3 linked regions of the Drosophila melanogaster genome follow. Changing the gene in region 1 together with any one later gene gives a genetic interaction. Each region holds a gene or a part of one and is shown in the gene's direction. Other genes may lie near its edges. The genes, in order: pros, erm and mud.

Region 1 (3,754 bases):
GCCAATGCCATCGATAAAGCCATAAACTTCATGTACTGGGTGGAGATTGTGGGTGCTGCTGTTCCTATCCGGCCTAAACTGCGCCATCCCAGACCTGTGCCCGCGTTCTATCCATTTCCGGGAATACGCGGCGTATGAGTAACGAGCGCGATGCGTAGGATTAAATGCAGGCGCTGCCTAGTTCCGATCTGTGCCTCCTCGTCTATATATCACTGATATACATATATATAATATATATATACATATATATATGTACATATATATGGACACATATATCTCTGAGCACGTACATAGAGAATTGCAGTGGCTGTCGCTGCACTCGCCCACCAATTTTTCTCCGCTTTTTTGATGCGCTTTCCCAGAACCCCCATGTGCATGAGTTAGTAGGAATTTATGCTGGCTCTATTATTGTTGCTCTTGTTGTCGCGGATCCTTTTTGGCGGGGTATGAGTGCGGACGACGCTCTACATTTTTTTCAGCTGCAGTTTTCTTTGCTGGATATTTTAATGCCAACTCTGACGATATACCAATACCAGTGCCAATAACCAACACCCATAAATGGCGGCAAAATAAAATAGGAAAAAAATGTGTGTTGCATTCGCGCAGGGGCAACATAGAAAACTTTTACGTTTCGCTTAGGGTTTTGCTTTATTTTTTGCTTTCAGGTTTCCCTCTTCTTTTTTTGCGATTTTCATTTTGTTGCTTTGGCATTGCAAATGAAAACGAAAAAATTGCATTTTCCCCGCATATGGATGTGTGTGAGAAGCACGAAATCAAAACAAAACATGGCCACATGGCGGGTCCTGTCGGCTGGTGGGTGTGCGGATGGGATGTATGGATGCATGGACGGATGGGGCACATGAACAGTGCACAGCCAGGAGCAACAGCTCCCACAGCTGCCACACTACCTCCCTGCAGATGTATCTGTATCTGCGAAATGGTATGGTCCATCTGGCGGGAAAAGGGGCTGGGTTTTAGGTACACTTAGGCTCGATAGCTGCAGTTTTTCGCCACCCAGTCAGCGAAACAGACCACCACGCAGTTGCCCAGTCCAAAAACCACCTCATCAGTCGTTTGGGGGTTTGGGTGTTCCATACTTTTTGGCGTTGTTTGATTTTTAGGCGCAGCAAAATGCGTTTTGCTCTTGATTGAAAGTGTGAAGAGTGTGGGGCAGCATGCCAGCGTGTGTGTGTGCGATATGTGCATTGTCCGTGTCCTTCTCGCAGTGTGCATGTATTGGCGAGGACGCCGCTGCCGCTGTCGTCGCGCTTTGTTTTGATTTTTCGCGACTGAGCGCGCGTTGCTGTCTGTTTCTCTCTGTGTTTTTGGATTTGTCCAGCAATGCATATGTGCGCCCACTGTTCTAGTGGGTGTGTGTGTGTGTTTGTGGTTGTGTGCGAGGTTTGCATGTATATGTACACTAGCAGCTAGGAGCGGCGCTGACGTCGCAGTCGCAGCAATTTTTTGCGCCAAAGCCAAACCAAAAAGGACGAGGACAATTCGGTTGGCGCTGCAGCTGCGACGTAGCCGCGGAATTTTTTTGCGCGTTTCGCGCCCGGCCAGCGGCCACTTTCATCCGTATCCACGTATCCAAGTATCCACATCCGCATCATCCTACTCCATCAGCGTTAGCATCAGCGGCCGAGGGGCTGGCGTCCCTCATAATCAACGCGCTGCAGCGACGACGCCATCGACATCGACAGCGGCTCTGGCTTTGGCTTTGGCTCTGTGACTCTGGGGCCCGTCATCGTTAGCAATTTTTGCCAGGACATTGCAACAGAAAACTGCTAAACGCGAAACAAGTTGCGGCGCTTTTTTCTGCTCCTCGGGTTCTCGCTGTCTCCCTGTCCTGGCCTGTCCTGAATCGAACTGAGCCGTGCTGCCAGGATCAGGCAGCAGCAGGCAGCAGACAGCAGGCAAGGCACATCAGTAGGCAGTGCAAGGCAGGCAGGCAGGCAGTCGGCAGGCAGGTCGCCACTTCTCGCAGACTTCTTCGCATCTGCATAAATCAAACCCAGAGGCAGTAGCAGAAGCAGTTAGCCACCCCAAGAAAAAACTCTACAACAGAAAAATACCGAAAAACAAAAGAAAAACAAACAAACAAATAGAAATAGAAAAGAGAGACATCGAAGCAGAGAAACGATAGGAGAACGAAAAAAAGTGCCAAGTGAATGTGAAAGTGAAAGTGTGTGCAAAATGACTTGAAGTGCAAGACTAGACACCTATGTACGTACCACCTACACCACCCAGCCTGGAACACACTACGTATACGCAATGCGGCCCAGGCGCTCATACGCCCCGTTGGCCCGCCAGCCCTTCGAACTAAGACTCGGGCTGGGGCTCGAACAGCCATCGCTCGCCATGCCGTCTTGAGTGCAAAAAATTACCCGCCAAAAACCCAAAAACACACACGGCCGGCTTGCGCCAAAGACAATGTAAGCGCCGGCACTAGAATGTAGAGCAGTTTTTTCTTCATTTCCCAAAACTAACTAACAAAACCAGCCAGCCAACAACAAATAACAAAATAGACAAAGTTACATTTTTACCAATATCGATAATATTAATCACTTGATAATCAGCGCCAGTCAAACGCAACATTTCGTTCGTAAACAACAACTACAACTAGCCACAACAAAGCAAGTCAAAGCCAAGAAGCAACCAAATAAGCAGGCAATACCAGTCAGTCCGTAACGTCAGCAGCAGAAACCAACGAAAAACCAAAATAATAAAGTAAAACGATTGAGTAACTCCAGTTTCAGTACCGCACCGATTCCGATTTGAGCAAAAATTCAAGCGTCTGAATTTGATTTCGATATCGTCTGGCCCGTTCCGTCTTCAAGTCTCGGCCAAAGGTTCGTCATCGTCCCGACACACTCTCAGTTTCTACAAATTCAGACGTAGATCCTTAGTTAATTCACCTTTTGTATTGTGCATTTCGGCAAGCAAATATTTTGGAAAGGATCCCCAGAGAACAAAAAAAAAAAAAGGCGAAGAAGAGCAGAAGTCAACACTCGAAATCGAAAACTACGAAATTACCTGAAAATTTTTAAACAACCAAAAAGTCTATGAATGCAACAAAAATTACACGCTAAATTTTACAAGTGCAAAATTTTCTTATAATAATTTATCAAAAAAATAAAAATAAATTTACAAAAAAAAAAAAAATTAAAAAAGAAGCATAAAAAAACGGAACTTAGTGAGAAAATTAATCAAAGTTTAGAGAGAACATTAAATGCAAACGGAATATCAAAAATTGTTGTGATGTGATATTTTTTCGATGTACTTTTATTTGAGGGTAAGTAAAGATCACTATCAAAAATTCATTTTTCAACCATTACTCCATTCTTTTCATCAATCATTGACTCATTGGGGTTTATTTATCTTTTCAGAATTATAGAATTTAGATAGAGAAATAAGGGAAATAAATACATTCGAAGCGTATATTTTAAGATCTAGGTAATTTAAAGATGTTCTGATTAAGAAAAGTATCTATTATGGGATGCTTGATCATAAGAAAATGATTAACAGTGAGCATTTAACTACTGATCATTTTTGGAAGAGAACGAGAAGAGAACGACATTTAAGACAAATAGTAAATGGATAATATGAGTGTGAAACATTGAGCAGTATTGATTTTCATTAGAAAAATTAGGAAAAGGTTCATTCTTTAATTATAATGTTATCATCTAAGTTAAAATCAATTCAAAGATATACTCTTTTTAAGGCACAAAATCTATTTCACCAACGAAAGAAA
Region 2 (3,754 bases), on another chromosome or scaffold:
TGAATGGAAATGAACAGAGGTGAAAAGGAGCAGAGATAGTGGAAGAGAGATAAGGTGCAAAGATAACTACAGATAGAAAAAATATGTAGTAGTAGTAAGCTTAATATTTTTCACTCCGTTTCTAAATTCTCTTTTGAAAAATGTTCAACAGTTCAAATGTAAACTATTACTGAGACTTTTTCTGTTAGTGTATAAAAGCTGCATAGGCCGTGGTCGTTTTGTTTGTTGAATGTCCAGTTGGTTGTTGTTTGTGCTGCTATTTTCCCCTCGTTGCTGCCTTTTTTCACTGCGTTTATTTATTCAACTAAATGCAGATTGCACATTTCAGTATGTGCCGTTCATTTAGCTTCCAGTTAATCACGCTGTTTTGCCCGCTTTTTGTCAAGGATAATCACCGGATTGTTTTTGCTTCGTCGAACGTATGCTTACTAAAATATTGGAATTATTCACACAATATTGAAGCTTGTTAAATTAGGCAGTAGAAGACACCTATAATAGTATTACGAATTTCCATGAATTTTCATGTTAAAGTAGATTTACCCGTCGGCATCTCAAAGGAATCAAACAAATAGTTTACAAATATTGTACAATAGTTTTTATGGTTGCCACATTCAACCCATCCAATCAACATTACTCCAATGAGGAAACCTAATCAACAAAGAGCTGATATTTGCATATCGATTTCCCCACACAAGAGCCGCACAACAAGCCAGATTAACGGAAAATGCAGTCGAAATGGCGGCCATAGTCCTTGAAGGATCCACTAAAACCCCCACGCTCCCCGTCGGACTCGCCGAAGAGTTGTGCTTTTGTGTGGCCTTGCAGCTGCAATTGCTGAACTGCTCAACTCCAGCAAAAGCAGCCATGTGCCCTGCATTGCCCAAGAAAAGGTCCTGGACCGTGGTCCTGCAAACGGATGGAGTTGGTGGAGCAGGACGACAAGCACTGCCAGAGCAAACAAAGTCAAGAAAGCCGCGCTGGAGATGCCATCAAAATGAATATGGGATTATATTTAACTAGTGCTGGCTGGCGATGCAGGGGGCTTCAAATCAAACAAATGAGAAAGGTGCACCTAGAGAACAGGGAAGCTAAAGAATAATATAAAGTTATCTAACCAATTTTATACAATTTACAATCTTTAAAAATTGGCGATTGATGCTTATCCTGCGACTAACATTCCTACATAGAATAGGGATTACTGATTGGATTACGGGTGAATTATTTTCTCTGTATATAGCAAAAAAAGATGAAGAATTGGAGAGAATCAAAGAATCCTTGCCCGCTGGCGGGCTAAAGGTGAGCAAACAAAGACGCTGATAAAACGAAATGCCAAAACGACAATTGAAACGCCCAACAAAAGGCATGAGCTTTCCAGGAGGGGGATGCGCTGGGAACGGGGAACGGGGAAAGGGGTGGGCCAGTGAAAAAGTCAACTCGAGAGGCATCCACGAGGCCGGTGGCTGCCATTTCTTGGTGTCTGGTGTCGCCCCATCCAAATCAAGTGTGAACGGAATACGGCCAAAGGTGGCCCATCCATCCATCCATCCATCCATCTCTCCGTCCGTCCATCGGTCTCTTTCCAGCAGCCGAGTGCTACGCATAGTGCGCTCCCTCTTTTGCGGAACCTCCTCCATCTCGTCACTCCTCTATGTATCATCTTCCTGGGCTCTTGAGCTCTATCTCTATATAAATATTTTAGGGGCGGTCTCTGCTCACTGCCTCTCTCTTTCGCCGTAATATTCCAATTCGACATTTTGTCTTTTCATTCATAATGCAGTCGCAGTCGACGGCGACGTCGGCGTCAGGACATATCCTCCAATCTGAACGTGATGATTAAGTTCTCCTTTTGCCCGTCGCTCCCATCAATCCATCTCGCTCTGTCGCTCGACCAGGACGTCTGCATCCATCTCTCTCTCTCCCTCGGCATGCATTTCATCTCTCACTCTCGCCAACGGCGGCAGCACGCAGGACTCTCGGGGGTTGTTTCGCCAGGATTCACCCCAGCACTCGCCGTGTGTCCTTTTCATATTTCTTAAGGCCCGCACCGTTCGCTGTTTGCCTTCATTCCGCTTCGGTCGCTGATCCTGTGCTGAACGCGTCCTGTTCCTCGCGTCCCTCGATTTGCATTTAAAAAGCGTATATCCTTATCGACGAAACAAGTGAACTTTAAATAGTAAAGTAAAAGGACCAAGTTCAATTTGTGTGTGCCAACTGTTGTGTTTTGCCTCTAACAAGTGGAGATCGGCCGCCTGCCAAGGGAACTGGATATCCACATAGGCAGTGCCTGAATATGGTTTACTTTGTACGTATTCGATACATAAAAACTTAATTTATTACTCTGTAATTGCAAAACTCCGACGGGAAAAGGAAAAAACTATAAAGTACAAGTTCGCTTTTTCATATTAGAAGCATTTCGAAGCTATTTGCGTGACGTTCGTAAGAAAAGCAGGCATTTACATAGGTCTATGTCCTCTTTAGATAGTATTTCGTCTTGTATCTTTACCATCATTCTTAACACTTATGATTTTGATTAACCCCATCAAAAGCCAGCTTCATCTCATAACTTCTAACATGTGCTAGGGCATAGCCACTTGTTCAACTCAAGACAAAGTTTCCAAGTGCCTGTGTGCTCCGTTGATTGAATATTATTCCACGCACTTGGTTAATAAGCTCGATGTGGTTCGCACTCCCCAAGTGGCGTTCGTAGAGGCAAATTTTGAAGTGGCCACTAGAACACCAACATAATTCGGCTGCTTAAAAGTGGAACTACTCGTTCGTAGTAGTAGTAGTTTGGCACCCGGGAAACTTTGGGATCGAGGGCTGACCGCCGCTGCCTCCGGGTCAGCGTGTGAAATGGTTGCCGCCTCTCGTTTAATGAGATTAAAGCGCACTTTGGAAGGGAAACTGCAAGATGGGCGAACTGCGGACCCAGATGGGAGCTGGGCCTGCTGAGGCGTCAAATCAAGTTAATTAAAAGCGGCAAGGAAGTCGGTAATCGCACCGGATGTCGCACATTAGCCACACTCGAGGGCACATGGGGAAGATGGAGCCGGCGAGGCGGCGAGGCGGCCTTACACCTCCAGTCGAGTGTAAGCGATTTAATGAATCTCACATAAAGCCAAGACCCGCGCCAAAAAATTCGCATACTGCTTACTGGGCCTGTGTTATGATTGATGGCAATATGCTGGCGAAAGGATTGAGGTCTTTGTTTGGGTTAAGTGGAGTGTAAGCCAGGGCAAAGCACGGGTTAAATGCAAATAGCGTGGTATGCAAAATCGATCGGGTAATATTATGGAACGCACTGCGGTTTGCGTTTAATTGCAACCCGCTGGCTGGCCCTGAATTATCCTGCGGAAATGTCCTGCCGCTGGGAGCACGCCCTCCGCTGGCGTTTGTTTGTGCTCCCGAATTGCCAACGCATTAGTTGCACTTGACTGATCAGGCGGTAAATAGTCCGTACAGCTGCGGTCAAAACAATAGGGACCACTTGAAATCCGAGCAACTTGGGAATAGGTGTTGTTATTATATTCATAATTATAAACCGAAATATATGCTTTACATATATGCTTTTGAAGGCAAGAAGTTTTTAGAAAGGTATGGGAACCAGAAATGTTATTTATCCTAGTTATTTCCCCCCAACTGTGGCCACAAACAATGGAGGCGTATGCCTTCGATTAATTGATAACCCGTTGCTTAGTTTGCATACTCAATTTGGCTCTTTGTTCGTTTCTTACAGAGTCCGCGTGGCATGCAA
Region 3 (3,754 bases), on another chromosome or scaffold:
CTTACGGCGCCTGGGTGGTCGTCCTGGCCAAGAGGGACAAGCACAGGCGTGCCATGTTTGTAGGACACACCAAATACGAGGAAAGCCAATGAATGATGCTCAGCGATGCTCTTTCATTTTCCAGGAGCGGCACATCGAGGAGGTGACGCTAAAGAACAAAATCGAGCTGGAGGAGAAGCATGCGCGCCACGCGAAGAAGGCGCAATCGCATCATGGTCACTCCGGCACCGATTCCACGGGCAGTGCCTCCAGTTCGCTGCACTACGTCAACGAGCTGCTGCCCAACGGTGGCGGTGAGCACCGCAAGAAGCAGCGACGCCATCGTCACAAGGAGCGCTCCGTGGAGCGAGATGATCATCATCAACGTAGCCATCAGCGCTCGCATACGCCGGACATTGGCGTGCATCGTGGAGCGCCCAAGAGGCCCAGTTTCCGGCAGAAGCTCTTCGGTCAGACCATCGCCCATGTCAAACTGGTGGAGGCGCAGAGCGATAGCACGGATTCAGCTGGCGCATCTGGTCCGGGTACGAGATCAGGTCGCAGTACGGTCGCCAGTCCAGGTGGCCAGGCCAGTGCTGCGGCCAAGCTCAATCCCGGCGAGAAACGACAGCGACTACAGCGCCTGGACACGTTGCCACTGGCGCAGGTGGTGCGTGTCAGCTCGATTCCGTGAGATATAACCATCTGGATGGATGTACATATGCATGTGGAAGTGGAGTAGTTCTTTCTTTTTTTTTTTTTTTTGGGGGGGGGGGGGCGGAGGCCCGACCTCGCCATTGTGTCGACTAAATAAATGTATTATAAAAAATATAAACAGGAAATTCGCCTTTATAAATAGACGGCAATCAAAAGGAAGGAAATGTTCCGATCTTCGTAACGAAATCAATGCTAAATACGTGAGAATTGTATTGTGCACATAGTTCAGCCCATCTGGCTTTTGAATATTTTCAAAATCGTGTGTTTACAACTTGATTTAAGTGAGTTGTAAAACTAATAGTTATGGAATAGTTTAGTTCGAGATTTTTTGGCGAGGTGTTTTCAAGTTGAAATTCAAGTATTGTAATTATTGATTTTCGATCAAGCTGATGGCTTTCTTTTTGTAACGCTTAATTTAGACAATAGTTTTTGAACCGCTTGTCGTTTTCGCACCACCATATTGTTTATTCTGCCTACTTCCTTACGTTAAAATGTTTGGTTTTTTCTCTGATTTTTTTTTTTTGCTTTACATGTACATCAGCGGTGCATTTCCATTGTTTGTCCGAATTAATGGTGGCGTTATTTTTAACGATCAGCACTATAACTAGATTTTCGGCTACCCTGTGCTCGTGTGCGTGCCCAGAAACGAGGATGGGTGGGTGGCAATTCCGGGCACATTGTTTTCGGTCATTGATTATTGTTATTACAATTTAATAGTTTACATGTGGTGGGCCACACTCGGTCGCTATTGGCCATCGGATTTTGGAATTCCCCGCCAAAATAGAAGCCACTTGGTTGCTTGTTTACTTGGCAGGAAATTCGCATTGTAGACCAGTGCCGCCATCTATGTGTGAGATTGGGGTAAACACAAAAGGCGGTTTCAATTATGGAATTTGCTTAGTTTTTCAGCATAGCGGGATTCAACTAGTTTTTCCATACTTGGAAAATTACATTAGATAATATATATTAATTACATATTAATATATTAATTGATAATTTCAATTGAAAATATCACTATATACTTTGGATACTTTGGTATTAAAGCAACAGGTTATTGCAGTTGGAGCCGTTCCACTAAGGCAGGAAAGCAGTTCGTAACAAAGTAGATTGAATTATTTATCAAATTTCATGTGAAACATTTGTTTCTTGAATTATGCAATATGCCATGGTGGAAACACAAGCCACTTCTTTCGCACAGATATCGATAGCAGAAACGCATCTAGTGGACGCGGCCTGGCTTGCAGCTGGAAAGTATCGATCGCCCGATAACAATACCCGAGCGCACCTCGCATGGCGTCGCGCTGCGGCATTTGAATTAAACGACGCGCCGCCGAAACGAGAAGTTGTTGCATTTTTTCGTATCTAGTTACCTATGTTTTCGTTTGTGGAACTGTCAAAATTGTTTGTTGCCCTGCGGACTTCAGTTTAGTCATTAAATTTTCATTGCTCGTTCGGAGCAGTTGTGCTTCTGGTTGGAAAATACAAAAAAAAAAACAAATATTCGGTTTTCGTGAGCATTTGTGCTAAATATATTTTTTGTTTAATTGCGTTTTCGATCGAAACCCGTTTGTTTCGCGTACATTGTTTTGTGTGCTGTGCCGTGTTCTGGAAAACATCCGTTACTGGATGCCAACAATGATAGTGTGATTAGTCTACGCAGACATTGAGCATACATATACGGGCGCACACACACCCATAAAAACGCACAAAAATTCGCAATGGACACGCGCAGCTGGCGCAAGGTCCTACTCCAGTGGGTATGTAAATCTCGCATTGCGCATCACGCACTGGGAATCATTTAGATTAACCCAATTCTGCGGCAGATTGGCGAGTGCCACTTCATCGAATCGAACTACATTACCTTGGAGCAGTCGGATCTGGACTCCTTCTTTTCGGTCTTCATTCAAAAGATCCAGGAGACGGAAAATGTTAAGGGGAAGAATGAGCTGCAGGATCAGCCCACAGAACAAAGCCCCCTTGTGCAGGAATTCCTAGCACGTAAGTTTTTTTTTACCTATTTTCCTAGTTTCTCATAGGGTATAGGGAAACATTAATAAATAGTGAAGCCTTAGTATGAGAATTTAGCGCACTTCCAACTTCATGAACCCACTAACTTGTAAATTTTCCCATGCAGATAACTATCCCGAGTTCATTGCACAACAGGATGACAAGGAAGTCGATCTGCCTTTGGATTGCCTTTACGTTTACACGCTCCTGTTGCATTACTCGTGCGTTAAGAAGCCCAGCTTGTTCTTTCACAACATCTGCAATAAACTGCCGGAGCTGACACAGACATGCATCGCATCCTTCTTTCGAGAGACCGTGGACAGGCTGTTGACGCGCGAATATCTTAGCCAGGCGATCGCCAACGTTGCAGTTGTTTACCGACAAGGGGTTTCGACCTCAGTCAGCCCATGTCTTCCCAGCAGCAGCCTGAGTCCCGATCCGAGGAGCGATGATGCACCATGCCCATCCACGCCCTCATCGTCATCGTCACAGCCGTCGAGCAGCACGCCACAGTTGCGCAATCATCGCGAACAACTTCGCCTGAATGGCTGCGAAATGCCACCTCCTTCGACCCCGAAAACGGAGCTACTGGAGCAACGCACCAAGGAGCTGCGCGGTATTCGTACCCAGCTGGAGGTGGTGCGCTACGAAAAGGCCTTGCTGGAGGAGCAGCAAATGGAGAAGGACGAGCTCATTAAAGTTCTCAACAAAGGTTAGAATGCTTCGAATGCATTACTTTCATAATTTTTTTACAAGTAATTTCATAATCGTTTGCATTTCAGAGAAAATGATGGCCAAGATGGAACTAGAAAAACTAAGAAACGTGAAGCTAACCGAAGAGCACCACGATAACGAGAGCCACCACATTATGCCATATGAGTTTGAGCATGTAGGTAGACTAGCGCAGATGGTCACAGGTAGCGAGCGGGAGCTATAAACTAATAAAACTTTTAATCCTCATTTCAGATGAAGGGATGCCTTTTAAAGGAAATCGGTCTAAAGGAGAGTCTCATCGCTGAGATTACCGATAAGCTGCATGATTTGCGTGTCG

What was found.
Region 2: of pros (region 1) and erm, changing one suppresses a phenotype caused by changing the other (phenotypic suppression), as found in Drosophila melanogaster (one study listed by BioGRID).
Region 3: of pros (region 1) and mud, changing one suppresses a phenotype caused by changing the other (phenotypic suppression), as found in Drosophila melanogaster (one study listed by BioGRID).

What each region holds. Positions count from the first base shown.
Region 1 is NT_033777.3:11,326,662-11,330,415, forward strand, and holds the start of pros (prospero), read left to right. Parts: upstream 1-1,818; 5' UTR 1,819-3,295; intron 3,296-3,754. UniProt on the Drosophila melanogaster protein: Homeodomain protein that controls neuronal identity. As a transcriptional factor, regulates the expression of ftz, eve and en in a subset of neuroblast progeny and modulates the transcriptional activity of other homeodomain proteins such as Dfd.
Region 2 is NT_033779.5:1,952,862-1,956,615, reverse strand, and holds the start of erm (earmuff), read left to right. Parts: upstream 1-2,062; 5' UTR 2,063-2,290; coding exon 2,291-2,302; intron 2,303-3,736; coding exon 3,737-3,754.
Region 3 is NC_004354.4:14,245,706-14,249,459, forward strand, and holds the start of mud (mushroom body defect), read left to right. Parts: upstream 1-2,026; 5' UTR 2,027-2,414; coding exon 2,415-2,453; exon of another isoform or gene 2,454-2,519; coding exon 2,520-2,694; exon of another isoform or gene 2,695-2,830; coding exon 2,831-3,415; exon of another isoform or gene 3,416-3,485; coding exon 3,486-3,592; exon of another isoform or gene 3,593-3,669; coding exon 3,670-3,754. Other genes in the region: CG32599 (uncharacterized protein), read left to right, coding at 1-59, 125-673.